Linked DNA regions of Arabidopsis thaliana. The protein of the gene in region 4 interacts with the protein of the main gene of each other region in a pairwise test. Each region holds a gene or a part of one and is shown on either strand. Other genes may lie near its edges.

Region 1 (7,276 bases), on a different chromosome or scaffold from region 4:
AAATGCAGACATCTTGCTCGGAAATCTGTGAAGCTCCCTTTGCTTGGAACAATGTCAGTGTTGTCGCTTTTGGTGAATATTGTTTGTTTGGCGTTTGCTGTTTTCTGGTTTATAAAACGTCACACATCGTATTCTTGGGTTGGCCAAGACATTTTGGTAACTCCCATAGCTCTCTTTTTCTTCGTCACTACATGCATCTAGATACCATTTCCTCTCATTATTTCTCTTATCACCGCTTCTGCTATTTTTGTTAATTTAGTTTCATATTCCACTCTTTCCATAAAGGAAGAGGTCATGTTGAGAAGTTTTGGTTCCTTGGGCTGCACTTAGTGAAATATTTATTGTCATCTTGTTGACAGGGCATATGTTTGATGATCACTGCCTTGCAAGTGGTTCGATTACCTAACATCAAGGTATTTTATCTAGTTTGCTGTGTAGTGAATTATGATTGTTCTCTGTTATGCTTATAATGGTCTGTACTCCAGGTTGCGACTGTACTTCTTTGCTGCGCATTTGTCTATGACATTTTCTGGGTCTTCATATCTCCATTGATATTTCACGAGAGTGTTATGATTGTGGTGAGTATCTCTTACAAAGTCGAAAATTTATCATTTCTATTGCTACACTCAGTTTATCCAGGTTAGGCTTAGAAAGGGGCTAGTTATGTGATTTGTTTCGTTTCTGCAATTCTGACCAAAAAAATATGCTGTTTCGGAAGGTATCATTGAAGTTTGTTTTGTGACACATAAATTTGTTATGGTAGGGCTGTAGTATCTTTGTCGTTTTGTCAACAGCTTACACAAGTAACTTTATAACTCAATAACTTTGAATAGTAGTCGATTGTGATAATTGAGTAATTGAAGGGCCCAGAGAAGCTCAGCCAGTATATTCTTATTTGAAACTCCCTTCTTTGTAGGTTGCCCAAGGAGACAGCAGCACTGGGGAGTCCATTCCGATGCTACTAAGGATTCCTCGGTTCTTTGATCCTTGGGGTGGTTATGACATGATTGGTTTTGGGGACATCCTCTTCCCCGGTTTGCTCATTTCCTTTGCTTCCAGGTACTTTTAGTCAGTGACATTCTTAGAGCTTCAAAGAACAACTTGGAATTCCATCTTTGCCCATACTTTCTCCAGAGTGTCTTTCTCAACGATTCTCTCATCCAATCCTCTCCCACGATTAATACTTGCTCCACTCTTTGATCTCAGATATGACAAGATAAAAAAGAGGGTAATATCAAATGGGTACTTCCTCTGGTTGACTATCGGCTATGGAATAGGTAAGTGTCCACGCATTACTAACTCTGTGAACATTAATGGCGTTACATAGCTTATACAACAGAGTAAATGATCTCAATTATTTTATATTTTCCGACTATAAAATAACATAGCTTGCTAATCGAGATGGCTTCTCACATTCACAGTCTTGGAACTTAACAGAAACATTGTTTCTTCCTGTTCTGTTTTGTAGGTCTATTACTGACATACCTAGGTCTGTATCTTATGGACGGACATGGCCAGCCGGCACTATTGTACATCGTACCCTGCACACTCGGTAAAACCAGAAGCTTGAGTTCCCTTTCCTCCATCTGTTTTTGAACACTCCTCTCCATCGTTCTCAAACAAAACCTGATGTGTTTTCTCTCTGTAGGTTTGGCCGTCATACTGGGGTTGGTAAGAGGAGAGCTTAAAGAACTATGGAATTACGGTATCGAAGAATCAGAGTCTCACACACCGGAGGATCCAATGCCTGTGGCATAATAACATGATTCAACAATATTCTAATGATGTGTTATCAATCAAACTGAATTAGCTTTTCCCCAAAACATCGAGCATAGCTTAAGCAGATTTCATATGTGAGAGGTACACAAAAGCTGATGATGTAAGTTCTCTGCAAAGCCAAAGTTAATCGGATACCAAAAGTAATTCAAGACACATCGGAAAGTACTGTATTATATCGTTTTTTTTTCCTTGTTTTGGGGGAGAAGAAAGAAAGGTTCTCTAGTAAGACTCATGACATGTTGTACAGAGTCTATATTAACCTTCTCTTGAATTCAGACTCGTTTTTGTAGAATTTCAAGTATAATGCAAATTCCCTTTTGTTAATCTTTGTGTGTTTTCTTTTTTGGGAAAAATAAGTCTTTGAAAATTCCATAAAACTTGAAAGTTTGTTCAAATATTATTCGACTGATGGAATGAAATTCTGACGAAAACGAATGCACGAATCAGATATTTGATGTGAAATATGTGGAATTGACCAATTTGTCTGTTTACGTACACGTGTATAATAATTGACAAATTAAAGTAGGACACTCGTATGAAATATAAGTATGACCAACTGCATAAATAAGACGTGTAGATAATCCTTCCAACGGAAAATGTGATTATAAAGAAAACAAGTAATCAGAGTCTTGTAATTTTTGTTAATAATGTTGTTGTGAGCGACCATTTGAATTCAATCCGACATAAATCATGAAATGTTAGAGTTATACAAAAAAAAAAATCTCTCTTACCTGAAAAAAGAGTTATACAAAACAAAAAAGGAGTTAAATTATATATATTCTACAAAATTCTTTAACCTATATAATGTCAAGTATTTTTAAGACTTATTCAAGTAACTCCGTGTTAAACAAAAAAAAATCATTTAATTAAATGATTCATAATTCTATAAATATATATTTTTAAAATTATTAGATTTATCATATATTTTCTCAAAAACATAAACAGTCGTATATGTATAGGAGATATATAAATACAGAATGTATATTTTATGATAGTTATAATTCCGCTATAATTTTCTTATAACTAATATGTTATAACTTTATATATATAATCCATCCATAGAAACATCATTGACGAATAACACAATCAAGAGGAACCAAGTAAATTGCATAGCTTAAAAGAAAAGAAGAAAGAAAATTCTCTTAGCATATGATAAGTAATAAATCCCCTTTTATCATATGACAAGGGCAAGTTACCAAGCCCTAATGTTTAAACCGGCCATAGCATATGATAAATAATAAATCCCCTTTTATCAAAATTCAAGAAAAGAAAAAGAAAAAAATCTTTCGTTACTTCGAGACTAATACATATCCACACATTTCATATATGTATCCTATCTTACACGTATGTATATATATAAGAATATATATATATATATATATATATATATACACATATATATTCGTTATGATTACCCCAATCCAATAGACTATGTATGTGTCGTATCTCTATATACATCGATCATTGATGATGATGTTGATGATTAATTGATGATCATTTGGGAGATAAGCCATCAACGAGACACTGCATGACCTTGACCTGCATACTAAGGCACTTGATGTAATGAGCCGTCTCTTCCATCAGCTTTGACGTCTCCATTCCTCCGCCTCCCGGAACAAGATTCCTCAGCCTCTCCGCCGCCTCCTCCACCACCGGAGCTCTCTGGTTACTCCTCCTCCGTTTTGATGATATCTTCCACTTCCTCCTTGAAAATCTTACGATCTTGTTGTCATCTTTGTCTGCTCTACGCAAGAGGGCTCTGCTCCATAGCCGGCTACTCCCTCCGGCTGCTCTGGCCATGGAAACGTACGCAGCCTTCTTGATCTTCCTCACGCGGTAGTTTTTTTGGTCCGGAGTATCAAAAGGGTTTTGTTTTCTGAGATTTGAGAGGGATTGGAGGAAGTGGAAGGCAAAAACGTCCTTTTCAGGGACATCTGTGTTTATGAGTTTGTCTGCAGAGGCCATTGTTTGGGTTTTTTAGAGAAGAGAACTTGAGTTGAGAACCTTTATAAAACTTTTTTTTTTTTGAGAATGACACAATATTAGGGTTAATATAAATGGAAAGGTGGAGAGAGAGAGAGAGATAGAGAGGAATAAATAATGTTTATTTTTCCTTGTACTTAACTTTTCTTTATGTTTTTTTATGTCACAAGACACACAACTATTCAAATTCTCTATAAAGTTTAAATTTAAACTATAGGTTCAACTATTTATAACTCATGTTCTAAAAAAAAAAAGATGTGTTAATAGCTTTGAAATATTGAATTTTGGAGCTTAATTGGTCCGTCAAAGTTACGTTGCGTAAAAATATGAGAATATGAAGTTATAAGTGGCAGTTTTCTTCAATGGTGAACAGCAAATAAATACAGTTCTATGTTTAACTTTGGGGGTTTACTAATATTAGTTCAAATTTTTTGTAGATTCGTCTGTTATGGTTTAGTGGTTTGACATCGATTGCTTACTGGTGGCTACTTAGATGTGTAAATATATCATTATGTGTTAGAATTTTAAAATGAAATGTGAATTGTATAACCCATGTATTTCGGAAAAGTATAATTTACACCTAGTGTTATAAAGTCTTGAATAAATAAATGGGCAATTAGTGGAAAACGATGTTTTGGAGCTTGAAGAAAAAAGTTGATGCCAATAGATTAACAGAACTTGGCTATTTTGGGTATATATATTTGACTATTTTGAAATTTGAAATATTAATGTATACTACACCCAAATACAATATATATAGCATTAATGCTCGTATACATCTTAGCTAAAACAAAATAATAATTCGGATGATGTTTAAGTACTAGACGCAAATTAATCAAGCTCGTTTGGTTCATAGCTTGGTATTAACGGAAAAAAGAGCAATTTAGAGCAGACATCAGATTATGGAATTAGATTCCAACCACACTATTATGTTTATTTGTTTGTTTTTATAAAAGGTTAATTTAGTGACGAATGCGTATGAATTCATTAACGTGAACAGCTAATAGAGACTATTATGATAAAATTAGGTAAGCTATATACATATATGTATGTATTTATGTTAACATTAGTTGACAACTAATGACGATTAAGATGGAATATGATCGATTGTGGAAAACATATAAGCTCATTTTCAAGGCAAAAGAAATAACAAAACCCAAAATATCAATTTAATTGATTCATTACTTGCTCGATATTTACTTCCACAAACAAAATTCAGCCAAAATCCAACTCTCGTGAAACGACTGATTGAGGATGTTTATTCGAAACTGAGTTTGAACTATACGTTAGTTTAGAAAGTAACACCATTGAACCTGAGAATAACTATGATTATTTCGACGATATAAAGTGTTAATAAACTTAATCAATTAGCCACTCGCATCATCAAGATAAAACGTGTTTAAAATTGATCAGATATATAACAAAGTATTCACCATGCAAGAGAGCAACAACAAAATATGAGATTATTCAATTGGCTTGACCAATAGATGACGTTACAATTTATATACACCAAATATTACTAACCAATTTAGAAAAGACAACACATGAAAATATAAAAGAAGAGAAGAGAGACTTGAGGAATACGATAAGTGTTTGGTTAAGGCTATAATTTAGCATTAGTCCCATCTCTTTTGTGTTAATCACTCTCTCCCCTACCGCTTTGCCGCCGGACGTATTTTTCACGCCATTTAATTCTTTTGTATAACATCATCATGATCATATTTATCTTTTTTCAAGATTCAGCTCCAAAATCCCTTAAATCTCACTGTTTTCTCTAAGGTTTCAAATTTCACATCTATCATAAAAATACGTTTAAAGATTAACAATTTCGGGTCAATAACAATTTACAAAATTGTTGATATTAGGAGTGAAACCAAATGAATAAGAAGGTGTTAATCATATAATAAGAACTAAAAAAGAGTTGAAGAAGTGGTAGAGTAGGTCCACTAATGGGCCAACCACCACATGAAGGCACATGGCTATGGCCTTTACCCACCTCCACTTTCCTTTCTCTCTTATCTTTATCTTTAATTTTTTTTTGTTCTAATTATTCAATTAATATTAACTACACCATTCGTTTTCTTTGATTCTCTTCTTAATTTAATAATAAGTCGTTGGGGGCGAATAAACTTTATCATACTAGTTGATTAAAATATCCCAACTAAAAATGTAAAACAAAAACAAAAGAATAAATGCTATTGGTCATTTAGTAATAATGATTTACAAAATGTTGAAAATCAGAACGTGTGAAAAGCCACGTAAGCACTGACGCCTCTTTTGTTGTTAAAGAGGAAAAAAGAGTGTTTGGTTGTTTTATTACGTTATGTTCAAAATGAAGACGGCTGATTAAGCTTGACGTTACAACTGTCGGCGACTTTGCTCCGTAACTGTTGACGTGGCTCCGTTTTACTTTCTCCGGTGGATAACATGACGGCGCTCATTTTCTTTCATTTTTTATTTAAACCTCAAAGATAATTTATGCGATCGACGACGACGAGTCACGAAGCAAACCATGACTCAAGCATATATAGTGTTTGTAACTTTATGCAAAAGCATATATAATAAACTCATTGAAAATGTCTTATATAACAAAACCAGTTACGAATTACGATAGCCTAAATAGATGTTACAAATATCTTTAACTATGTTTGTTGTAGTACAGACATATTGTTCAAATATCATCATAGAGAAGTCCATGTAAAACGGATTGAAGATCAATTTTCGGTAATTTAAATTCTTAAAAGAGAAGACCATGTCATATTAAAATCGACAGTAGGAAAGATCTAATTAGTTAAACATATTCAGACTCTCGGTCTAAAATAATTATAGACCGTAAGTTACGCGTAACACAAAAACGATTTGGTTGGTTAATAAAACTGAGGAATAAAATAAACGGACAGAGACAAAAGGGTTGCACGTGGGATAAATTTAATGTACACATACGCATACACACGTACATGCAAATATTGAGTTAAAAAACAGAACCGTGAAATAGAAAAAGTGGGCCAATCTTGCCTATTGTTAGAGAGGCAAGATTTTAATACTCAAAACGAAGACCACTTCCTAATTAACTATCTCTTTTAATTATTTTCATATGTTAAGCTTTCAATTATTTATCACTATTCTTCAATTATTCATATCGATCTTTTCACTCTGAATTCATTATTCATAACATAGTTGGCCACAGTAAATGTCTTAAGTACGTTTTTATTTCTTTGGAAATTGTGGTTATGAAAAATGATATACAAATTAATCCGCATCATACATATTTTTGATAAATTTTCAAGGCTCAATAGAGTTTTCCGGAAAACTCATCAAAGACATGCATGCATCTAGCATATTGGCACAGTGTCGAATTTGGACTCATGTAGATATTAATTCGTTTCTTCCACCCATTATTTAATCTTAGACGACCAACCATTTGACCAACATTATTCAATAAAATATTACTTAAACCAACAAATATCACAATTTAATTCGTTTGTTCCACCAAATAAATAAACACATAAGATAT
Region 2 (10,086 bases), on a different chromosome or scaffold from region 4:
GTCTAAAGCCTAGAGTCTGAAGTTAAGAGAGTTTCATTTCTCAGTTTGTTTGTTGGTTTATATCAAAAACAATCTTAATTAATTATCTTGTCATTTGTGTTGCTCAGTAGAATTTGAAGTGTCCTATAGTCTCTAGTAATATTTATGATGGATACTTCCTTTTATTTAATGTTGTTGTTTCAAAAAATTTCTTGATCTTAAATAAGATTTAGTAGTTCCTCTGTTTCTCAATCACTGTTCAAGAATGTCCAAAGAAATGAATCATATGCAAGTTTAACCCGAACAAGAAACTATAGATAGGATCATAAAACATCAATATTGAAAGAGATAACAGATAATTTAATGTATAGACCAAGGTACAGAGAAGTCAAAGTCCAAATCTAGATTAACATGCTCACAGACCAACACATTGTCATAACTGTTGCATTAAATTGTTCATGAGCATTTTTAAAATCATGCCTAAGAGGTGTGTCTATAAAGTGAAAACAACTGGATTAAACTCCAAAAACGACAAGGGCAGGAGAAAGAGAGAGAAGGAGCAAACATTATAGCATTAAAGAAGGAAGGAGTACATATCAAAAGTGTGGTGTTAGTGTAATAAACTCTGTGGAGTAAATATTGCAAGATGGTCTCCATGCATTCAAGTTTCAAACCCCAAGTTCTACCCACCAATGAAAATATCTTTAATGACTCTCTCTATTGGTGTCTGGAATTGCATTCATGATATTAAGTTGGTGTGTCATGGTTATGGAAACACGACATCTTTGGAGGTTGAGAAATATCTCTATCCAAGTTTATCTTCACCCAAGGCTGTTATTTTTTCCTACTTTATGATCTTATGACTGATTCTAACTTTTTAATAATGTCAACAAAATCCATACGAAAAATAATACTAATCCAGAAGTAATCAAACTTTGATCCACTGAATCTGTTTTAGCCATGGAGAGCTTTTTCAGAAGTAATGAAACTTTGAAGTAATTTGAACGAGTAAACTTTTTGAAATTGTGATATATGCTTGTCATGATCAATGTGTGAACAGAGGATGATGATTTATTTGGTTTGTGATGATAGCATTAAGTAGATTTTCTCAAGTTCTAGCTCTGCAGTTATTTTTCTTCAAGAATTTCAACTTTTTTTCCTTGCTAAGTTGGATGCATCGATTGAATATTCTAGGCTTGATTTGTTCATCAGCATGTGGAATTTTCGGAACATAGCTCACTAAGTGGTTTCTTATCATTTTGAATTGAAAGTGTTCTGTTTTCACCTAATCACATTCTATGTTAAGGAAACTAAACTTATTTTTTGGAGACAGTCACCTCAGATTAAGACAGATGCCAGAACACATGTAGCAGTAAACAAAATTTAGCTATGAGAGTTTTCACTAAATCAAACTGATAGGATATGTAGCTTGTTTGGTTGCTCTCTTGCAGTAAAAGTTAGGTCAAGACACTATGACAGGTTTTGGCCGTTATACTATAAATCATGGTGAGAAATGCATGAATGTATTAAGTCTTGCAGAAAGCTTGGGAGGAGCTGCTGACAATGGAATTGAGGAAGAAAAGTCTCGTTGAATTCATTAGAAAATGGTACATCTCTTAGCTCCATTTGTTTTCAAATATCTTCTGCCATTTCTGTTGTTGCAGGTTTTCGACGCAGAATGAGAATGATTAAAGGTCAAGGGTTCTAAAATCCAAAAACATTATGACACAAAGTTCTACTAATAGTTCCATCTTATGATGCAGCATGATGTCCTTTCATAGTTTTAGGTACTGGTAAAGCTGTGGATGTAGAGACTATCAATTTCTCACATCAAGCTTCCTTCTTGATACAGTCTCATATACTGCAGAGTGTTAATACAGGAACTTCTACAAGCAGGATTTATTGCTGTTGAAGATCTTACACATCTTCTTGTCCCTCTATGACATGACGCTGGGACTAAGATCCTGATCCACTGAACTTTAGCAAGACTCTCAAATTCACAAGGGTTTTCATTTCAGTTGCCTTGTCTTAGTAAACCTGAGGTACCATCTACGATCTCTTTCTTGTAAATTTATGCATTACCTTAGAAAGTGAAAAATCCTGAGCTGATTTAGAAGGATAAAGAGACTATATCCTCTGCAGTTTGAAAACAAAAGGGGGAAAAAGGTTTGGCCTATATATATCGCTTATATCTTCCATGTCCATGATTTAGAATTTAGAAAGATCTTAATTAGATGTAACTTGGGATCTATCTATGCATATGCAGCTTTTGCATCTCAAACTGCATCTCAATAGTCTTGTTGAAATTGCATATGCTTTTTTTACGTCACATCAACACATTTTGATTTGAATATGCAACACTAACTAGCAATAAATCCCATTTTATTTTTGGATCTCTTGTCTTAGCCTTAACTTACATAATCAAGATATATGTAAATTATTAGGTCCCTCTCAAATCGTTACCATCTGCATTTTAAGTTTTTTGACAGTAAGTGTAACATGAATATATATATGCATAAGATCGATCTCAGGCTGAGGAAAGAAGCTTATGTTAGACTGAATCAAACAAGTTGCAGAGGTGGTTGGTCTTGGTTGGAGGAATTCTGATTCGGTTCAAGAAGGTTAACCGCAATATAATTCCGGTTATACTGCCCCGACTGGTGAGAAGAAGTAACACCCGACTCGTAAACTGTCCCTTGATGTATCACACTCGATTCTTGTTGCTGTAGACCTGTTCTTTCAGTAATCTGCAGAGATATTTAGAATTTGCACATCAAGAGATTGTCTACCGGAAAAAAATGATGATCAAAAATGCCAAAAAGAGTTATGTATAAAACCTTGGAGCGGAGATACATGTTATCGTTTTGCAGCTCGATTTCCTACAATGCAAGCGACAACAGAAAATAAAAAAAGATGATCATCAGAAAGAGAAGTTGCTAATAAAGTAGGGGGTAAGTTACTTGTGAAGGAAGATAGGTTTTACTTTTACCCTTTTTTGCATGTATTCAATCTCTGCAACTAACATCTCGTGCTGGAGAGAAAAACCAAATATAACGGGCAAGAATCAGATGGATATATATTCAATGATAAGGAGATTGATGGAGAGTTAGTGATTGTACCTTCTTGGATCGGACACGACTGATTCCTTTCTCAAGCCTACTTTCAAGGTTCTTGAGTTCCTTAAAGTTCAAGGAACCAAGAGATTCACCAAGAATGTGTCTGTTCAAATTCTGAATGTCCCGAATCTGTCTCCGGAGTTTAGACGCCTCTTGCTGATAGTACTTCATCAATTTCGATCCCATCATTGTTACAAGAGGTGAAAAAAAGGTCAGATAACTAAAAGAAGAAGAAATTAAGTAATTAACGAACTAGCTAGCTAGGTGTATTAATTAAAAGCTAACCTGAGTATTAGCTTCGGTGATGGTCGGAGGGTTAACGGCGTCGGAGCAAGCTTTCTTGTACCTTTCTATTGTTCCTCTCACACTTCATCAACATTCACACAAAGGAAAAGATTTTAAAATGCAATCTTTTTTGTGGTAGCTATATATGTAAATAGATGCAATCGGTGAAAATCTCAAACTTAAACCACCACAAGTAAAACAAAGACACACGAAACTATAACTGTTGGATTCAAACACTAAAACCAGAAGAGAAAAAAATATATATATATGAAGTCGTTAAAGAAATTGATATTTTTATCTTCTGGATATACAAAACACACAGAAAGACGGATATTAAGGTTTTGAAAATAAAGTTTTGTCCGCCCAAAACCTTAAATTCAACCGACAAAATAGTGAATGGACCAGTACCATATAGTATATGATTTGTTTGCCCTTCTTTTTTTGGGATATTATTGTTATTGCCTATTATCTATTAACAGTGACATCTCACAAAGTTATATATATATATATATATGTATAATCAAAGTTCGAGAAGACCCTAATGTGTACTTCCCCAAAAAAGTGTAATCCTAATTTGAAAACATACAAAAGAAAGAAGTAGCAAATCGGAGAAGAAAATAAAAAGAATTTGAATTGCATATGCTCTTAGTTAATTGGAATTGGTCCCAATTTATGTACGACACAAAATCCAAATTATATTTTAGGCTAGTATATATTTTGGCCTAATTAGATTAAAAAATTCACTACTAGGCTTTAAGAAAAAGAAGTGATTTTCAGGTCAAGTCAATAGATTCCCTACTCTAGAAGCTAATTTTGCTTCTTCATTTGTTTTTCCTGAATTAATATTTGAACATTACATTTACATGCATATGTGGCTGAGGCAAGTATGTTTTTACCAAGAACATGATATTTGTAAATCTTTTGCAAAACAGAAAAAGAAAAGCTAGAAATCTTTGCATAACGTTATGCTTTCATATTCATATACAAGTAATTTACATTGTGCTGTTGTATAATGGAAAGCTGAAGTTGAGAAATGTCAAAAGTAAGATACTACTAAAGCATGAGGGTGTTTGAAATAAGAAAGTTAACTACACTTTTGATAATAGAAACATATATATATCACATGTTTCTACATACATAATGCATTCCTCTTTTGTTAATCAAATTAGTCATGTCCATTATAAACTTCAGATCAGTTCTTTAGTCGTTGTGAAAGTTCACATTGAAACTACAAATTTACTAGTTTTAACTTAGATCCATGATATGAGACTTGACTTATAGATTATAGTCATACATCAACCTCAATTATAGTATTAACTAGCCAAGCAAATAAAAACAATATTTTTGAAAACATTTATCTTTAAAAAGCAGACAAATAATCAAAATGGTGAAATGAACATGAGCTGTTAATAGCTGGAAACGTATAGAAAAACGGAAATGACAAGTCCCCAACTTGAAGTGGAGAAAATAACAATCAAAAATCAAAATTTTCTGTTTCGTTATTTTTCTTGATTGATGGATCGGATGATTAATTAAGTGACTCAACAATAAGCTTTGTCCCTGATTCATTTTCTTGATTTAACAAAAGGATTCACCAAAAGATTAGAGAAGTGTCAGAAGACAAACACCTACTAGTCTCTCCCTAGTGAATCAATTTTGAAGGAATCTACATAGCTTTTTTATATAGCCAAATAATATATATTATTATAATTTTATCAAGAACCCTACTTTTTCATTACTATGATGGAAACCTAATGATCAATCTGCAGAAATAAAACTTGATGGGTCATCAAATTGATCGAAGTGTCTTGTACAAACTGACATAAATAGATACATATATAGATACTGTTATAAGGATTTGTGGAGAAAAAGTGACTGGAACAAGGTATGGGGGATGCTAATTAATGATCAGAGAAGACCCTCACTGCTTTTTTACTAAGAGAAAGAAGTTAAAGTAGGGTTCCCTAGTTTTAAACAAACCCTAATTTTGGGGATTTTTAAAGAGATTTGAGCTTCAGAGAAACTAAGGAAAAAAACTATAAAGAGACCATAAAGATTGAAAAACCCACCAGAAGAGTCGAAACTTTATTCTAGAAAAAAAATTCAAGAAAATCAAGATCTAGCTAAAAGATGTGTACCTGTTGTTGGCGTACTCGTAGAGACGGCCTCGAGTGGAGAAGATGACAAGAGCAACCTCAGCGTCACACAAGACAGAGAGCTCATAAGCTTTCTTGAGTAAACCATTGCGTCGTTTGCAGAAAGTGACTTGACGATTCGTAGTGTTCTCTATCCTCTTTATCTCTATCTTCCCTCTCCCTATCTTCTTGCTGCTCTCTGCTACTTCATTACTCGCACCACCCTCCATTTCTATAAGCCCTAGCTGAAGTATAAACACAAGAGAAATAGATCAAATCCTTTTGCACTCAAACACCTTGGATTAAAAGAAATGGTTTATAAGGATTAACTGAAGAACCCTAATAATTTGATTGGAGAAAAGGAAGAAACTTTTAAAAAAAAGTGTAAATCATCAATAACCATACCTGGCTTAGCAAGATTAATTATGATCAGAAAGAAAGAGAAGTGAGGATGGGAAGATGAATTATGAGAGAGTTAATTTGTTCATTGGCCTAAAGATACTATTCTTATTATCTCAGTACCACTTAACTGCTGCTTCAACTTTATTTTTTGTTTTTGGTTTCTGTTTTGGTTTATAATTTCTTTTAGAGGAATATTTCTTTGGAAGTATTTAAAAACCCATTTGCAGAAAACAGAAGGTTTGGTAGTTTTTTTTCAAACTGAAGTGTTATAGAAGGAAAAAGAAAGAAAGAACATGGACCATTACTTCTAACATTTTCTCAAATATCACACACCTAATTCTTTTAATTAAATTCTATATGCATACATTTAGATTGAAATTTGAAATTGATTGGAATTAAGTGGTAGAAAATATCAAATTAGAAAGAAGAAAAAAGAAAGAAAGAAGACAGTTGGGTTTGGATTGGGTGGGGAGAGAGCATTGAAGGAGGACCATCCAATTTTTCTTTCATGTTTAGAGGAAAAAAGAGAGGTATGGGCTCTGTTTCTCATCAGAATCACCTTTTGGAAACTTTCCTTTTTTGGTAATCCCTTTTTATTCTCCTTTTCTTTTTATTGCCCTACTCCTATATACATTGCATGTCGTTAATATTTACCTGGCATTTTATATATAAAAAAAATATTTCCAATTAAACCAATATTTAGCTAATATGCTAAGAATTTGGGTGGTTTATATGAGTGTTCGTCGTCAACGTTAGAATGGGGTTATATGAATATGAGTGTTATAACTTGTCAACTACCAAGCGAGACAATGAATAAGATTTCAGTGTTCTTGCCAATTAAAAAAAACTGTAAATAGTATATATTATTATTTGGTTGTGTTCAGAAATGGCAATTTAAGAGTATATATTATAACTGGTTTAGTTTTTCCAAAATTCTTATGTTCAAGTCTTAATCTTGGACATTAGGTTAGTCCAACGGCAATTTGAATATTTATTTTGATAATTAATTACATCATATTACGTAATTTAGACAAAAGAACTACATCATATATGCGACAATATAATTAGAGAAGATGAAACTAATAAAGTAAATGAAAGCAGAGAGCCCACGGGGAATGACTAATCATGTGTGTAGTCATTATCCATGAACCCTTTCTCAGATTTGCATTAATTAATTGTAGTTACGAAAGGAAACTCTTTTGTGTTTTGCCCATTCCTCATCATTTTCATTGTACTTCTATTCAATTTTCTTAACGAGCAACACACATTTTCACATTCATGTCGAATTAATTAAGTTGGAAATTCTGCAAAATCATTTCAAGAAAGAACTTGATGAGAGCTGGTAGGTCTTTTGATTGACTTTCGTGGTCTATATTCTCAATATATAGTATATGCTTTGAAAGTTGAATATGCACTAGTTCTTGTTGTGTTAAGAGTTAATTAGCGTGAAGTAATATAATTCTCATATCGAGTGTTTAATTTACTAGCTTTATGACAAAATAATCATAATCAAATAGAATACTAATGAAGAAAAAGGTAATATATATATGTAAGAAAGATGAATTATGTAAAGATTGCTTTTACTAGCCCTGTGACAAAAAATGTTAAATCTTTATCAAATTGAACGATGATTGATAATTGAAATTTAATTTTAATGAAAAGAAGTAGTATATAAATGGGTAAGAAAGAGAGATTTCCAAATTAAAGGACAGGTGATTTTTACTCAAGTATCATAATCAAATTGTGTATACGTCCAATCTCATTAATTAGTGCATAAGTTATTGATCACTAACTCTTGTGAAAAAGAAAAGAATCTTTTGTTTTGACGAAAACATATTCCAAATACCATTCATAGGGATACTAAACCCAAGACTTTGGATTTCCCTTCATCAGAAATTTTCCAACGTTTACTTTGAGATATTTTTTTTCTTCTTAGAACATATAATAAATAGGTTCATGAAAACGTAACAATGCGTTGGAGATTCTTTACCTGGCTTGTTGCCTTAACTCCCACAAAGATTCTTTTGCTTGAAGAAATTTCAAGCTTTTGTGTATATATCCAACGTCACAGTGCTAAAGACGTTTGAGAAAGTTTCTGTTGAAAGAAGAGTAAAAACTCAAAAAGAAAATGGGTTTCATTATTGCGATTGCAAAACGTTTTGATGCTCTAGTTGGGTAGGATTTTATTCAAATTCTGTCTCATATAATAAAAATAAACACTATATTTGTCAAATTTTTAACATTATTTTCTTCCTTTTTCTTGTTGCATGCAGGCCTGGAGTCATGCTTCTCTATCCTCTGTAAGTGATATCAAATCTGAATTTAAATGTTTGGTTTTTACAAATGCAACTTGATAGTTAACTGAATAAATGATTAGGTATGCATCATTTCGAGCAATAGAGAGTCCAACAATGTTAGATGATCAACAATGGCTTACATATTGGATCATTTACTCTTTAATAACGATATTCGAGCTATCCGTTTGGAGAGTCCTTGCCTGGTAATTACAATATTATTCACTAAATTCTGTTACGAATTCAAAAATTTATGCCTATAAAGACAAAAAAATGGTGTTCTTTTGCATATTGTAGGCTACCATTTTGGCCATACTTGAAGCTTTTGTTCTGTATGTGGTTGGTGCTACCAATGTTCAGTGGTGCAGCTTACATTTACTCCAATTTTGTTAGACAATACGTCAAAATTGGGATGAATGTTGGAGGAGGAACGAATTATACAGACGAACAAAGAAGAGTTTTACAGATGATGAGTCTTGATGCTAGAAAATCGGTTCAAGACTACGTTGACCGGTTTGGATGGGATTCTGTTGAGAAAGCAATCAAAGCGGTATATGATTTCTCTTGTTGATCTTTAATATAGTTATGTATATATAATCCAATACATATATTCTGGGAGTTTAACTTCATTATTTGTGTTCAAATGTAGGCTGAAAAAGAAACTAGAAAGCATTGAGATGGAAGATCAAGAGTCAAGAAAAACATTACTCTTTGGTTTGTACATGTATGTACATAGATTGTATAGAGCAATACTATAATGAAAAAGATATATATGTTTGAAAGATTTATGGTGACAAATTTGTGTTCTAGTACTCTATGACCAAAGATACTATTAGAGAAGCCAGTCCAACTCTTTTTGACAACATACATTTGGATGGGTCTCAATTTGATTAAACAAAACATCAGGACACGATTCGAATTAAAATGAGAATACAACACTCTTTTTGACATAAAAATAAAAATAAAATTCAAGCTCGCGCTATATCACAATTGGTGTTTTGCTAATTTCCTAAATCTAATTTTATTCTAATTTAATTATGTAAAATAATAAAATCACATCTTTGGAAGTTTTTAAATGTAATTCATATAACGACAAAAAAAATGTAATTCATATGACGTAAAAAAAATGTGATTAATTTTGTTAGGGTCATTAATCTATATTCTATACTTTAATACTCTGAGATCCGTGATTATTATTATTTGTCCATCTCTATCCACAAACCATACATAAAAAATTGATATATGACGTCAGAAAAAGATAATACAAGTCTACATATCTCTTCGTCCATTTATTTAATTTAATTGGTAAAGAATTGAGTGCGCAAAATTAATAATTTCCAATTTATCAAAAAAAAACACATTAATAATTTTATTTTTTATTTTGTTCAACTTAAAAAAAGAAAAGAACACACATTAATAATTTCCAAAAACCCCTCTTTTCTCATAGATTGAAGCGTATACTCTAATTTGACCAATCTAATCTAGGGTTTCTAGTCACTTGAAGCTTCTCTTAAAAAACCTGTCTCACTCCTCGTCAACCTCTTCCTCTCCCGCTGTCGCCAAGATTGAATCTTTTTTCAGGTTTGAATCTATCTTTAGAGTAATGAGTTTCTCTGATTTCCCGACAAAACATGTCTTAAACGCTGGCTTCCTTCTGTTGTTGTCCAGTTCTGCTTTCCTCTTATCTGGGTTTTAATAGATCCTTTCACAGAATTTGTTTGTAAGTGATATATTTTTTCCACTTGTCACGGCCACGATTCTGATTATTCTTCTAATTCGTTGTTGAGCTGTTATGAAAACGATGCAGAATTTGAAAGTTCACAACTTTTTGCTTCTTATCTATTCGCTTAATGCTTTTTTATCTGTTATGTTTCG
Region 3 (7,376 bases), on a different chromosome or scaffold from region 4:
ATAGAGAGATTTGGATGCGTGCGAGTGACTGTGAGACACGTGCAAAGATATGGATGATGACTTCAAATCAATGTTATGACTTTCATAGTTTACACATATGTCATCCAACTTTCCTCCTTTTTAGATATTTACAATTTCGGCGTTTTGTTTTTCATATTCATCGAATTTTTTGGAAAGTAATTCTAGTCCAGTAGTCCTAATTTTTGTTTACATTTTAATGGTGCACCTGTAGTTACTGCAGCTGGAACATATTGGTGATCTCTACTAATGTGTAGCTTTTATTTAATTGAAGATTTGTTACATCTGATTTTTTGTAGTCGAAAGTTCATATGTTTTCGCTAAAGGAGAAAAAAAACTTGCAGGAATATAAATATATACACAAACACAAAGTTTGTCAGGTTAAAATGATTAGAATATTAAAGTTTGGAGATTTGCTCATAACATTAAAATAATAAATTCAGGAAAAAAAGACAACATAAGAGTTTTATTTTAGGCAGCACATCGTCTATTTGGCATTACAACCAATAATTTAAATTTCAATCAGATTTTGATCGAATTTTATAAGATGTACGTATAAACGGCCATGTGTGGTACTTTAGGTATTTCGGTAACCATGATTAATTAAGAAAAGGAAAAAAGAAAAACACTATAATACATGCTCTTGTTCTTAAAGAAATCAAGAGAAAAAAAAAAACACAGATGATTTTCGTTTAAAGACAACAAAAAAAACATGAAACAAACTATAAATTATACACTTAAACTAAAAGTCAAGTACTATCTTGAACAATGGACTTGAGAGCAATCGTCTGCAACTCAAGACATTTAATGTAGTTACCAATCTCACTCAACATTTCTTCCACATTCATCTCTTCCCCACCTGGCAAAAGCTTCTTCAATTCCCTCAGTCTCTCCTCTATCCCTCCTTCTTCGTTTCCGCCTTCTTTATCGGGTCTTTCAAGAATCCGAATTCCATCGGAAGAAGAACTAGTGGTAGTGGTTGGATTCGATGAGGACGATAGCTTCTGCAGCAAGAAACGGCTCCATGCAAATTCTTGAGCAGACAAAGCCAAAGCCATATCTACTTCATGCTTCACGGTTTGTTTTGAAGAGTTCTTGTTCATGTTGAGCTTCTTGAGTGCAGGAACCAAGTGGCTTGTGTATTTTCTCGTGAAAACTGCACTAGGGTTCTTGTTTGGTTCAAGAGAAAACACTCGTTTCTTCCTGTTTATGATTTGCCTCTCCATATGAGAAACTATTTTTGCTGCAAATGAAAGTCTACAAGGGAGAAAGTTACATATATAGCAAACTTAGAATATGAGAGAGACAAAGAAAGAGAAGAGCGGTGTCCTACGTTTGTTTGTATATAACAAGCGTTGATGATGTATAAAGTAAAGTTGTAGAACTTAATTTTCTTTGTATACATATATGAGGTAATATGTTTGGGAGTGTTATTATTTTTCGTTCACGTACAAAACACAAGACTATTTGAAAGTCGTAGTTAGTAGTTTTCTTTTTTAGACAAATATTTTAAAAACAACGGAATTTGAATATCATCAACTAATATATGTTTTTTTGTATAATACATTTATTTTTAGAAAATACACGAAAACAAAAAGAGAGTGTGTATATATATATATATATATATATATATACATAAATAAAGAGAGAAAAATAAGAAAAGAAGAATTTGGGAATAATAATGGGTGAGGGAAGAAAAAACACATGGAGTCACATGCAAGAGCTCTAATTTGGCTGCATCACAACTACCCCTAAAGAGGTGCTTTGAGAGACCCTTTTACCATGTGGCTCCATTCCAAGAACAAGACATCAATACAAAACCCCACCTTCTCTTAATGCTTTCACATGTTCCTTCCTCTTAACCTCTCTCTCTCTCACTCACTCACTCACACACTTTGTATATACATAATACATGTATGCATGTGTATGTGTCCTTGGACCAATCTCCTAATTAGTTTGATCAATCTATGTCATTTCTACCCATATTATCTTAATATAGATCTCCCTCATATTATATATACCATTTGACCTTCTTTTTTTTTATGCTGCATGTGTGATGAATTTGGGTTTCACTACCCACTACTTTTGCGATATTTGGATACAGATGGTAACTTGCTAAACAGAAATTTAGTTATTATTAGTGGTAGTTCAATTGGTGATCTGTACAACATATCAAGACAAACATCTTTGAAACTGAATTTTACTGCCACTGTAACTAATATGACGTAGATACAAGTTTCTTTACTACGCATATTAACATAAAGTTAAGATGCATGTGGTCAGTAATTGGGTTATTAATACGTTTTATTTGTCAAGGACTTTTAGTCGTGATTTTTTGATTCTAAGCATCATTGCATTCCAGGTTTAAAGATGACTTTAATTTTTCCTATAGGATTTGTAAATAGATAAATATAGTTTATGTTGACACAAAAGGTCACCTTTGATATGATATGAAAGTCTGGGTGTTACTCATTTGTTATTTTATTTTTATTTTTTAAAATATATACCGAATCATTTAGATATATATATATATATATATATATAATAATAATAATAATAATAATAACAATAAAATGTCCAAACAATATCTATAACTACTAAACATGGGCGGTTGAGACATTACAAGTTGTCTCTTAATCTTATAGTGTTTGATACATGCAATATACACGTTACTAGCTTTTGTTGTTAATAGCCAAAACTGAATGATCTCTTATTGGTTTTGTTGTGTTCTTTATCCTACCACACAAAAAAAGTCAAGGGTTAGTAGATTATCAATCAATGCAGCAAGGAAATTTTATTTCTCTTTTGTAAATAATCTTTTTTTTTGTTAGAATGTGATGTTTTCTCGTATTATATTTTAATGCAATCCCATAACCTTTGATTGAATGTGGAAAACATGTGTTAATGGTAACCCATCTAGATGAAATTAATTAATCTATAAACTTTACTAAATACAAGTAGATAAAAGTACATAAAGGTAGAGGAATTTTCTAGTTAAAAACAAACGAAATAATATATATATATATATTGGATATATATATATATATATATATAATCTAAGAGGAGAAAGAAATTGAGATGCAAACTAATAGATGTGGATACCAAAATAGATACTAGACATTCACACCTATAGTAGACATTGAACAATAATGCATATAATCATAAAAGTTTCTTGGAATTTTGCTTAATGGTTTTCCACCTTTGACAATCCACGTTGAAAAAATGACCGAATTAAATGTAACTCTTTCCAATCACACAATCAAGCTAGGTAAAACCAGATTCGTAATTATTCAACAGTATCTTTACGTAAAAAGATATATAAAGGAACAATAATGAATACAACCAACTAATGCCAATAATATTAAAATAGTATAGAACTATTTTGTCTGCAGTATGAACCACAAAGAAATCGTACAAAACTGTCAGAATGAATTGTACAAGGTCTGTGGAGATTTCTATCGAATATTGTAGATGGCATGTTATGACTTGTTTGTGCTGTTCTTAAATTTTGTTTTCTCTTCTTTATATAAGTTTTTTAAAAAGAAATAGTTAAACTGAATTAAAAAGGTGTAAGCAACAATAATATGAGAAGCGGACCCAGATAGAGGAGAAAAAGATATGGCTTGGATTGGGATTTGGGAGGGACACATCTCATGTGGGTTTGAATTCGAGTGTTTTGTTTGTATTCTTAATTTGGAGCTATTTTCTTCGCAAATGTCTCCACGTGCACTCACTTTAACATTTCTTTCTACAACATCTTCGTTTATTGAGAGTAGAAAAGAACACTGCCTATATGGCTATATATCTCATATGTAATGTCCTGTCTTCGTGATCAAAATTTTAGCATTACGTAAAATTTAGAGGATAGATAAAAAGTTACTTTAAAAAGGATCGAGGTTTAACATATCACTTATGCTTAGTTCCCTTAAATATATTTAAAAATGTATAATCCACCATGATATGATGATAATATAGTAAAAGAGACTTCATACGAATAAAATACAAGATAACTATTATATTTTTCTCGATTAAGACCAAAAAATAAACATAATCCAGCACCCATTTTCAACCATTTTGCACTTCCACGGATTTTCTAAATGGCTTAACAATCTGTATCATTTGTTTCATCCATATACGTATAGAGGTTTTTTAATGTCTAGCTCTCTAGGTATTATTATGTAACACACACGTTTATTTTTGTTGGCTTGTTAATAAAACATTCATATATATAAGATTTAAACAAGAACGAAGGGCATTTAACATAATGTTCAGAAATAATTAAAAACGAAGGACGCATATCATAATGTCAAACTATTTGGCAGGAATCTTTATATAAATTAAACTATTGTGTTGTACAAATAATGTAATAAAAAACTAAGAATGGGACAGGGGAAACGCAGTAAAGATTTCCTTGTATCTGGTGGAAATTGCAACTACGAGTCGCATCCTCCTTCACATCCTTTTTTTTTCTGCATTTTATTTTGTTTTTCAAATAGCTCTTTTAACTTAACATTTAGTAAAAAAGGAACATGAAATTTTATTGTTTTGCCAAAAAAGGAACTCAAAAGTGTACGACGACCAAAATAAATATGAGAATGAGATTATTGGGTTCTATGCGTTAAAGAAACAAAAACTTTTCTTTTGTTTGGTCGGTCCATTGGTCCACATGCAAGTAGGCTTGACAAGGTTTTTCAAAACTATAACCAAATAAGTATTAAATCAAGTAAATAACTATAAATACATGTTAAGAGATTTAAGAAAGAAAACAAACATGGTAGACACTCAAAACGACATACTAGTTTACTCATGAAACAGTTTTAGACAAAATATATAACATGTTGCTTAGAGAAATAATATACAATTAAAAATAAAAATAAAAAAAATTAATAATGATTATATGCAATTTGATTATTTGGTTTGATCTTATAGTGATACCACGCTGTTTAACATATGATTATACGAAATGCTAAGGGTATTTTGCTCAAAACGTAAAAAAAATCTGAAGGCTTGAAGTTACAGCTTTATCATTGATAATTTATATATTAACATTTATGATCATTTATCTAAATAAATCATTTAAGTTTACCAAAGTCACAAACTTACCAAGTTAACGAGGATAATGGGCCTCTCCATTCTGACTAGCCAAATCGTTTCGAGTTTGAAAACATTGGTCGTAAATAAAGAAAAATTAAGCAGAAGAAGAAGAAGAAAGCTGCAGTTGTTAGAACTTTTAGATTGGGTCAGAATAATGGGCCTCTCCATTACAAATGCAACAAATCAGCAAGTCCAGACTCCAAGTGTAGCCCAAGTTAACAATAGCAATTATGCATAAAGAGGATTGAGGATTATAGTCGAATGGAAAGATTTTAGCGGTGAAGATATAGATATTTGATAACTTTGTCAAGAATAAATTGGTAATGTTTCTCGTTTCAAATCTTTTATAAATTTTGCAATAAAATGAATTGTTTGTTGTTTACAAAAAAAAAAAAAAAAGTTGTTTGTTCTCCAGTTATCTTTAACAGTAATAAATCTATCCAAGATCTCTACTTTGATATTTTGTATCCTCCCTGGAATACCATAAAAAGGAGAAGAGAGAAACGAAATAAACCCATCTTTTTTTTTTTTTGTCAACGAAATAAACCCATCTTATTAATTTAAGTTTCCATGTTTCACACTTATGAACTCCTTATTTTGACAACAAGAAATTAAATTTTATTATTAAAAAAAAAAATCCTCTTTAAGGAATAAAAGAAAGAAAACCTCAAATCACACTAATTGACACGTGAACAATCCCTTCGAATCTCACCAGCATTACCAGTCAAAACACCAACCCGACCTAACTTCGTGATCGCTGTGATGAAAGCTTGTCTAAAAGCTCCTTCACTATTGGCAAACGAATTAACTGTAGATCTTGACCGTTGATCTGTGAACAAGATTTGATCTGACGTGAACAAACCCTTTCCTTGTTGGAGATTCTTGAAATAAGCATTATCGAAAGTACGTGGACTGGTCGGATCCATGTTGATTGCGATTCTTACGTCGACACCGATCGGGCACATTTGCTTAAGCTGAACCACGTATCCACGGTTTATACTCGGGTCGATACGTGTTGTAGGGCTAAAATTGTATATTCTCTTTGACATTTTTCCACAATGTGCAAATCCTATAGTGTGTGCTCCTGAATTATAACGTCACAATAACATTAATACTATACCATAAGAATTTGGTTAAAGTAGAAAAATATAATAGGTTAAGTTCGGTTTTGGTACCTGAGAGGGCAATCATATCGGTTTGAGAGAGGCCGTGACGGCTAAACATGCCGTTGAGCTGGTTTAGGTTAAACTCGGGCTGAGGCAATTGGCTTTGAACGCTGGCCTTCGTGGAGATTCTGCCATCTCTCCTCCCTAGCTCCACCGGGTAGCTTGGTCCTCCGGTCTGCAATTTTTATTTAGTCAGATTACTATTGTTATTATCTGATCAGATTACTATATGACCTGTGTAGTTGTTACTTGTACTTGTCTTAAATTACAAACCGCCAATAAAAAGTGTCACTGTGTAGTTGTTACTTGTACTTGTATTATATTTAATGATATGATTAGCTTTTTCGCACAAGAAAACTGAAAACGATATATACTGTAGAAAAAACGAATTTTCAATACCTCGGACATTATATAATATGTATTAAAGGAATAATAGAGGAATAACTAAGTGATGTAAAATATATATATATATATATATATATATATATATATATATATATATATTAGTGTACCAAAACGACGACTTCACGAGTGGCGAGAGCCAAAATGTCAGCACATGAGACTTTGTTGCGGCAATTGGGATTGCTATCAACGGCTTGCTTCGCCTTCACCACCGTGTCGAATCCGTCTCCGGCCAATGACATGTCATCTGGATGGTCTCTCTCCGATGGTGATGCTATCATTATTGACGCATCACATCCCTATACATTCATACGTAAAGATAATGTTTTATTTGAAAATGATACATAGAAGATAAACATCGTAAACTCTAAATCTAGATGTTTTGGGGATACATTTCGATCAGAAATAAACTTCTTATATTGTACGAAAATATCAAAAGAAAATTGTAACGTACACGAACGAAGCAATCGTGGAAGAAGAGGCGAAGAGTGGCCGGAGCGGTAACGAAAGTCTGCTGGAATTTCTGACGGACAGCGTTACGTACAATGGTTTCCACGTTCGGACATGAGTTCTGGTAGAAACCTGTCCGGAGCTGAGCAGAGACACATGAAGAAAGGAGAAGGAGAAGAAAAAAGTTGGAGAAGATGGTTTGAGAAGTATTCTTCTCCATGGCTAATTCAATTCAATGTTCTAATC
Region 4 (7,382 bases):
AGAAAAAAAGATGAACAAAGTTAAGAAAAAACTTTAGATTCAGAAAAATCGTAATATTACATACATCTGCGGTTAGAATACATAGAATATTTATATACAAAAGAGTCGATGTCGTAGAAGATAAAAATGGAAAGTTTACAAAATCAGAACTGATCGGTTACAATGCGTCTTTTAGACTGATCAGTTTTGCGCTGTAATCAAAGCAATCAACCAATCAGTAGTTCAGTACAAAACATACATGATAACTGATTGGTACAATCCCATGACCGATCAGTTGGATAAGTTAGTTCGTCATAAGATTGCTGAATCTCCTGACATGATTTTTGAGGGTTATAAGGAGAGAATTATTGTGAGATCAAGAGCATCAAGATTCTTAGAACCATGTGTTACAAAGGCTTCCTTTACAAGGTATGTGGAAAAAGTTATTAAAGATGGAAAGATGGAGAAATTCTCTTGGAAAAGTTGATGAGTGTCCAATATGTTGTGCAAACTTAAAGGCATAACGCAAATGAGGGGAACATCTTTAGGGTCAATAATAATGTTGGTCAAATCCATTTTTCATGAATTTGTCTAGTTATCAATCAAGTTGTTCAGAAGAAGAGATGGGTTATAATTATAACCTTTGTTTAAAGCTGGCCACAAATATTTAGCAGGAATCCAGGGGTCATTCCATATTGAAATTGACTCTATAGAACCAACTTTTTTAATAAGTTCTTAACTAGAGGTCGAGCAGATAGAATACTCTCTCATCCATATAATCAAATTGGATCTAATTCGATCCATGGAATTTGATTTCCAAATATATCTTCCTTTAAAAACCTTAGAAAATAATAAATCAAAGATCACAATAATGCAGTATTAATGTCTTCCACAGTCTGAAAAGATATTCCATCTATCGATTTATTGCGACATAACTTATGCCTTGACATCAAGTGTATACTTTTTGATTTTCCATTTGAACTCCACCAAAATTTTGCTACCGCGCTGGTAAGTTTTGATGTGACCGAGTTTGATAAGTCTAAAACAAGACATCACATAAGTATGTAACGCAGCTTAATCATCACCTCTTTCTCACCTTTAGATAACAATTTTGATGACCATCAATTAATTCTATCATTTAAACGCTCTATGACAAAGGATAAATACTTATTCTTAGAGCCCCCTAAGTTTTCCAGTAGTCCCATATATGAACGTGAAAAATCTATAAAAAAAACGAACTTTTAAATTTGGAATGAAAAAACATGCATTTTCGAAATACCATTTAAATCACAAAGTTTTAGTTTGATTTATGATAAAATGATGAATTTTCGTTAACTTGACTATTTCGACAATGTCATTAAGTTTTCTTAACCAGACGATCACATAGTTAATTTTTCGTTAGAAGCCTATATAGACTTAGAACGACATAGTTTTGAAAGCTCGTAAATGACATCATTTCATTAGAAAATAGATGGAAAACCTACGAGAAAGCAAACTACTAACCTATTGGACTCATAAGAGACTCTCAATTGCTAAACTACGAAAATATCTTGGTATAATAGCAAATACTGCATACATATTTTGTTGGTGTAATAAGATTATTCTTTCCTAAATTATTAATGAAAACCTAAGACTTATGGAATACAGAAAATTAGTTATAAGACCTAAAATTTATATAATCCTTCTCATATATGAATCCTAAAATTTGTAGAATTCTTAATCCTATATTTATATGAGAATGATTGCATAAATTTTAGGTCTTATAACTAATTTTCTATATTCCATAAGTTGGCAGTCTGTTAAATCTCTGTAAACAATTTTTAGAAAATTATGAATCTTTCGTCAAAGCGAAAGGTCTTCATGGGACATTTCTAACATGTACACCAAAAAAAATCCAAAAAGATTAGTCGGGCATTCGTATACACACTCATGCTCATTAGCTTTCATAGATTAATTATCACCGTTAAATGTAGATACCTCTCATTACTTCGTCAACGTCATAGTCATTTATAGGAATGCAATAATTATGAGCCGGTGCTTACCCAACAAATACTATCCTCAATAATTTTATTAGAAACGGAAAAATGTATATCATTAATATTAGTTGATAACAAATTTCAAAATCGAAATATTTATCCAATTGTAACAAAAATAGTAACTGAAGGATTATTCATTATTTATTTCATTCGGCATTGTTTTTTATTTTTATATTTGACTAACACAATCAAGTTTAGACATCACAATGTCCATTATTTTTTAATAAATATCAGAAATTTAGGAGACTACTGACTAGAAATTAATGTAAATTTCTGTACCAAAATTCCAAAGTTCATAAAAGATAAAAGCACGTCGCTTGATATATAAAGGACGATAAAGATTACATATATAGATAAATTAATAAATACTATATTAAGAAGTTATAATAAAAAATATTGGAAGGTTACATGAGTAAGCTTCTAATCACGGCAGCTTCAGGGCTATCTTCATCAACAGAGTCAAGAAGCTGCGACAAACGATCACTGAGATTGTCAACTTCTCTATGCAATTTTCTTATGTAGTTGCATGTCTCTTGTAGTACCTTTGATGCTGACACCTATTTTGAACAAATAATAATGTTAGGATTCTACATTTTCAACAAACATCATCAAGAACATTAATATATATACACACATGTACGAACACCACATAAACAAGACTTTTTCGAAGTTCAAAAATGTTGTCAGGAGTCAAATGTTCCGACTTTTTTGGTTTCTTTTGTTTGATTTAAATGTAGACGAAAAGATCAGTTTTTTTTTTTTTTTTGTATATACATGAATGAGGTGAAATGAATGTATATATGTCGTATACCTTATCAGAACGACGCCGTTCGTGAATCTCCGGCAAAAACTGACGGAGCTTACTAACGAGGTCGATCATCTGGTCATCGGAGATCCTCGAAGCATTCGAAGTTTGTCTTGATCTTCTGTTAGACATTTTCTTGTTTTTACTTTGTGATTAGGTGTAACACTACAATGCCGCAAGAAAATAACCTTTATGTTGTATGCTTTCTCTCTTTTCTAGATTAGATAATAGAGAAGAGATTGAGAGAGAAGGGTTTGTTATTAAGAAGAGAGTTTTAAAAAAAAAAAAGTGAGAGAAGTTATGTAGAAGGTTTGTGTTTATTCTACAGGTTTTATATTTGTGTTGAAGAGGTGTGAAAGAAAGAAAAAGAAGAGCAACGAAAAGAGAAGAGAAGAGAAAATTGTAAGAAAGTGTTTCGGGTAATAGAGACACTTCGAGATATAAAGAAAATGAGAAAGTGATAAGAGAGATTTAAAGAGGTCAAGGACCACAAGGGAGAGAGGGAAGAGATCAATAAACCTAGACAATGATGTAATGGGAGAGAAAGAGATTTGAATCTTTGATAAAACCTCAAACAAAATTTGTTTAAATAAAATTATATTTTTCTTTATCTCATCTACATAGAGTAACATAGATTAGAAATGAATATTTATAATAAAAAGTACTCACTAATTTAAAGGAAAACTTATATAGCTTTATCATATATTATTAACTTTTAAAAACTATTTGTATGGATATAAATCAAAATTTATTTTGTAAAACTAGTAAAAGATTAATAATTGAAAGAATTGTATATAATATAGTTATGCTGAATAATGGACGAGGATTTTGGACATTTTAATGGAGAAATAGATGAAAAAGCTGAATGTTCCCAAAGCTGGTGTTGAAGTTGAAGTGGGATTTAAGAGAAGTGTTCCATGTTGAGCTAACAATGTGGCCCTTTATGTGCATGTCACTAAAAGGCAATACCATGTGATGACCTTGACTTTCTATTTTCATTTCATTACTATTTACGATATTATCCCACCTTGGATCCATAGAATTATAGAAAGATCTAGAATTGATCTAGGAAGTTTGTGGTTGATCCGAAATTGAACATAACTTTCCATTCAAGATTATAGACCTAACTTCCTGTCATGTATGATATGTCACAAGAACACATATGTAGTAATCCAAATCAATTTAGATGAACTGGTTTAGTTAAATTAGTGTGTTCACATGGCTTAAAACTTATTACACATAGCTTGTAGTAGCACAAATAATTTTGAATCAATGTGTTGATATTCCTTATTGAATCTATATAGACCGCAAAAAAAAAGGAAAAAAAAATAAAGCAGCGTGGACTTTGATTCGGTCTTGCAATGGATTACCCAAAAAAAGTAGTCATGATAAGTTCGTCTGCTTCCTAATTTAACTCCTATGTTTCGGAAGCTTGAGAGATTTAGTATACTTGATGTTTAATGGCATATATCATATATGTCCCATATGGTTGCTTCAGATCTCAGATTATGCCTCCTTAGATTCTAAATCATGATTACCACGGGGACACAAGGTACTTAATTATGTCCTTTATTTGTGTGCATTGTTTGCATAACATACAAAAGTGTCAGTAAATTAGGAAAAGTCTACTAATTAATTGGTATTAAATCTAATCAACTGAACCATGTTTTCTCCTCCAACTTCCAAGCTAATAGGAAAATATATACCAGGACTTATAATTAAAAATCTAAACTTAATTAAGGAGAAGTTCTGTAATTATTAATACCTAATTTTTTTTTATGATTTAGAAACTTAAAACAAAATTTACATGTAGAGCAATAGATGGAGGCGAACATATTAATAGCTTATTTTCTACAATACACATACATCGGATTTGAATCCAAATTGTGATAAGAGAAAAAGATATAAATCAAAATGTTCATACTAATTATTTCGTTTTTATTTATTTCTCGTCCTTTATGGGGACATCTAAGTATGTGATTGTTACAGCTTTGTTTGCCTTAGCTTCGCATCACATTAATTAAATTTGTAATATGGTTGTTTTATCCTCTATTTGAATGAAATGCTTTTAGTGTTAAACACATTTCAATTAGCTAAACATAAACAAATAGTTATAGACTAATTGTACTGTTTTATTGATCACTGAACCCGGGAAATTTACATTTTGGTGACTAGAATATTGAAATACATTGAAGGTAATGAGTAAAATAAATTTAGTTATTACAAAATATGCTAAACAAGTAGTGCAAAGTGAACAGAGTAATGGTAACCATAATAATTAATAAGATTAAATACAATTAACAAAAAATGTATAAAATTTTGAGTGACCGTAACGTAAGCACGCATGTCTTTTGTTGTTTTGTTGTAATGAAGACAAATAAGACGTCTCAATTGAAGGCGTATAGCTAGGTTGAGAAAAGTACTCGACATATATACAATTGTCCATTAAACGTTATCTACATAATTATATTGTTAAACCATTCGTAATTATCAAGAACAATACTACATAGCATAAATGATACGTATTCATCATCATATTCGTTTCGTTTGCATATATAGATTATTGGTATTGTCTTTGTTTTTTTGCAAATTAGGAACTTTGCCTATGTGTTTTCTATTTCTGATCTTAGTTTTTGATTTTTTGATAGTCAAGTCTTTAGTCTATCTGCAATGTGAGTTTAAACTCATAATTTTACAAACGAAAGAAATATATTTCAACAAAATTAGTCATGTTTAAATTTGTCGTATTACTATAAGTTCTATCAAGAGAAAAGCCATGTAAAATTACGGTCTTTTATCCGCGCATTTTCAAAATTAAGATTAGCTCCGAATAGTTATTCTACACACAATGGAGCAGACAATGCGTACCAAAAATTATACCATGCATTTATAACGATATTGACGACAACATGAATTATTCACCATAAATATACATTAAAACGATGTGTATCCAACGTAGACATTAAAAGTCAAGAGCCCTTGTTTGAGAAGGTTCGTTCTCATATTCGGAAAGAAGCTAATCACTATGTTTTGGCTCTGTTTTTACCTTAAAACTCGGATTTGTTATGACAGATTTTTGCCATTATAACTTTTGGATTTGGTTTACGCAGCCATACTTGTGTTGACTCCACTTTTTTCTTGTTAATAAAAGTTTGCATTTTCAGTGAAAAATAGAAGAAGGAAAAAAATCAAGTATCTAACCAAAACTCCCTCTAATATTCTTAAGAAAAACAATGCACATTATAAGTATACATTATATATTACTGTAAATTAATAGCTAAGGGAGATGTAACATGTTAGTCCATGTGGGTTTCACGTACTGAATGTTAGGCCTCTTAGGCTCCACGATGTTTTTATGTCCAACGATCCCTTTTGATTTTTCCTATCAATTTTGGTCCATTCAAACATAATGTAACAAAATAAGATTATTCAAATTTAAGTTATTGATAAAATAATGAGAAAAGCAGCCTTATGCAATAATGCAATAATTGAATTTTCCGATATAACTATATACATGTTTTAATTTCTTTTTGTTTGAATAGTTGTAATTTTCGTGGTTAGGTTTACGCTGCGGAATCAACGTAGTTTAAGCAATACGATTTTACGAAAAATGCGTAATAATATACTATTATTCAGCATGCTATAATAGTGATTTCAACGAGTCATAATACGTCTTGACCTTTTTATAAGTAGAATACTGTATAAAAATATGCTTTTTTTCCTTGTTGAAGAAATAAAAATATGTATGCGTTGCAAACAAAAAAAGTTTGTTTTAAAGAAAGGGAAAATTATGCCCCGACAAATTACTTAATGATGTTTAAGCACACTTCATCTACCTTTGCTTTGCGCTCAACAAAATACTGATTGATCAATTTACCAATTAATAATTGTTATAACTCCTACACTATCTTCCTTTTACCAACGTCGAATGTAAAACATTTTATGATATAATTAAAAGGGGGAGAGTATACCGTAAATGTATGTTGCAGTTTGGTCTCGGCATTGGGATATTCATGTTGGATTCTCATTTTCGGATAAAAGAGTTTAAGAGCCAATAGAGTAAATATAGAAAATTGGTTCAGTTTCGGTTTCGCTTCGGTTCTAATTCATGGTGGTTGAGTTAAGATTTTTAGAACTAGTAACCATCCACTAAAATTGATTGGGTCTTGTTAGAATATTTTTTATATGATTATATCGGATACTCATTCGAAAGATTGTCCCTTATGAATCTAATAGGTTAGATGTTCGATTATATGTGGACGCGAGTTTTGCATCATTAGTTTCTAATGAAACCACGTCGTTTTGGAGCTTTAAAAACGACGTCATTTCGATTTATTAGACATTTCTAACAGAAGGTTGACATCGTTAATTATGTTAACGGAAATTTAATGACGTGTCTAAAATGGTCAAGTCAACGGAACTTGACAATTTTTTCAAAAAGTCAAACTTAACTTTGTGATTTATATGATATTTTGAAAGTTCATGTTTTTTTCGTCTCAAATTTGAAAGTTCGCGGTTATTTTGACATTTTTTCTTCTTTAAAATAATGTCGTTTTCATTGT

The links.
Region 1: the proteins of PRE5 (region 4) and IBH1 interact in a two-hybrid assay, tested with the Arabidopsis thaliana proteins (one large-scale study listed by BioGRID).
Region 2: the proteins of PRE5 (region 4) and SHP2 interact in a two-hybrid assay, tested with the Arabidopsis thaliana proteins (one large-scale study listed by BioGRID).
Region 3: the proteins of PRE5 (region 4) and AT4G30180 interact in a two-hybrid assay, tested with the Arabidopsis thaliana proteins (one large-scale study listed by BioGRID).

The regions. Positions count from the first base shown.
Region 1 is NC_003071.7:17,905,715-17,912,990, reverse strand, and holds IBH1 (ILI1 binding bHLH 1), read right to left. Parts: upstream 3,985-7,276; 5' UTR 3,745-3,984; coding exon 3,274-3,744; 3' UTR 2,781-3,273; downstream 1-2,780. Other genes in the region: SPPL3 (SIGNAL PEPTIDE PEPTIDASE-LIKE 3), read left to right, coding at 1-156, 360-413, 486-578, 917-1,059, 1,207-1,277, 1,469-1,552, 1,649-1,758.
Region 2 is NC_003071.7:17,816,261-17,826,346, reverse strand, and holds SHP2 (K-box region and MADS-box transcription factor family protein), read right to left. Parts: upstream 6,093-10,086; 5' UTR 5,921-6,092; intron 5,761-5,920; 5' UTR 5,746-5,760; coding exon 5,519-5,745; intron 4,090-5,518; exon of another isoform or gene 3,463-4,089; coding exon 3,381-3,462; exon of another isoform or gene 3,261-3,380; coding exon 3,099-3,260; exon of another isoform or gene 3,011-3,098; coding exon 2,963-3,010; exon of another isoform or gene 2,859-2,962; coding exon 2,817-2,858; exon of another isoform or gene 2,727-2,816; coding exon 2,541-2,726; 3' UTR 2,334-2,540; downstream 1-2,333. Other genes in the region: PDF1 (protodermal factor 1), read left to right, coding at 1-20; HVA22F (HVA22-like protein F), read left to right, coding at 8,046-8,092, 8,191-8,217, 8,295-8,417, 8,509-8,761, 8,861-8,887. UniProt on the Arabidopsis thaliana protein: Probable transcription factor. Interacts genetically with TT16/AGL32 in a partially antagonistic manner during flower development. Is essential for the coordination of cell divisions in ovule, seed coat development and endosperm formation.
Region 3 is NC_003075.7:14,762,896-14,770,271, reverse strand, and holds AT4G30180 (uncharacterized protein), read right to left. Parts: upstream 1,489-7,376; 5' UTR 1,245-1,488; coding exon 768-1,244; 3' UTR 501-767; downstream 1-500. Other genes in the region: AT4G30170 (Peroxidase family protein), read right to left, coding at 5,790-6,196, 6,288-6,453, 6,791-6,979, 7,135-7,350.
Region 4 is NC_003074.8:10,853,362-10,860,743, forward strand, and holds PRE5 (basic helix-loop-helix (bHLH) DNA-binding family protein), read right to left. Parts: upstream 3,427-7,382; 5' UTR 2,953-3,426; coding exon 2,827-2,952; intron 2,573-2,826; coding exon 2,420-2,572; 3' UTR 2,262-2,419; downstream 1-2,261. UniProt on the Arabidopsis thaliana protein: Atypical and probable non DNA-binding bHLH transcription factor that integrates multiple signaling pathways to regulate cell elongation and plant development. May have a regulatory role in various aspects of gibberellin-dependent growth and development.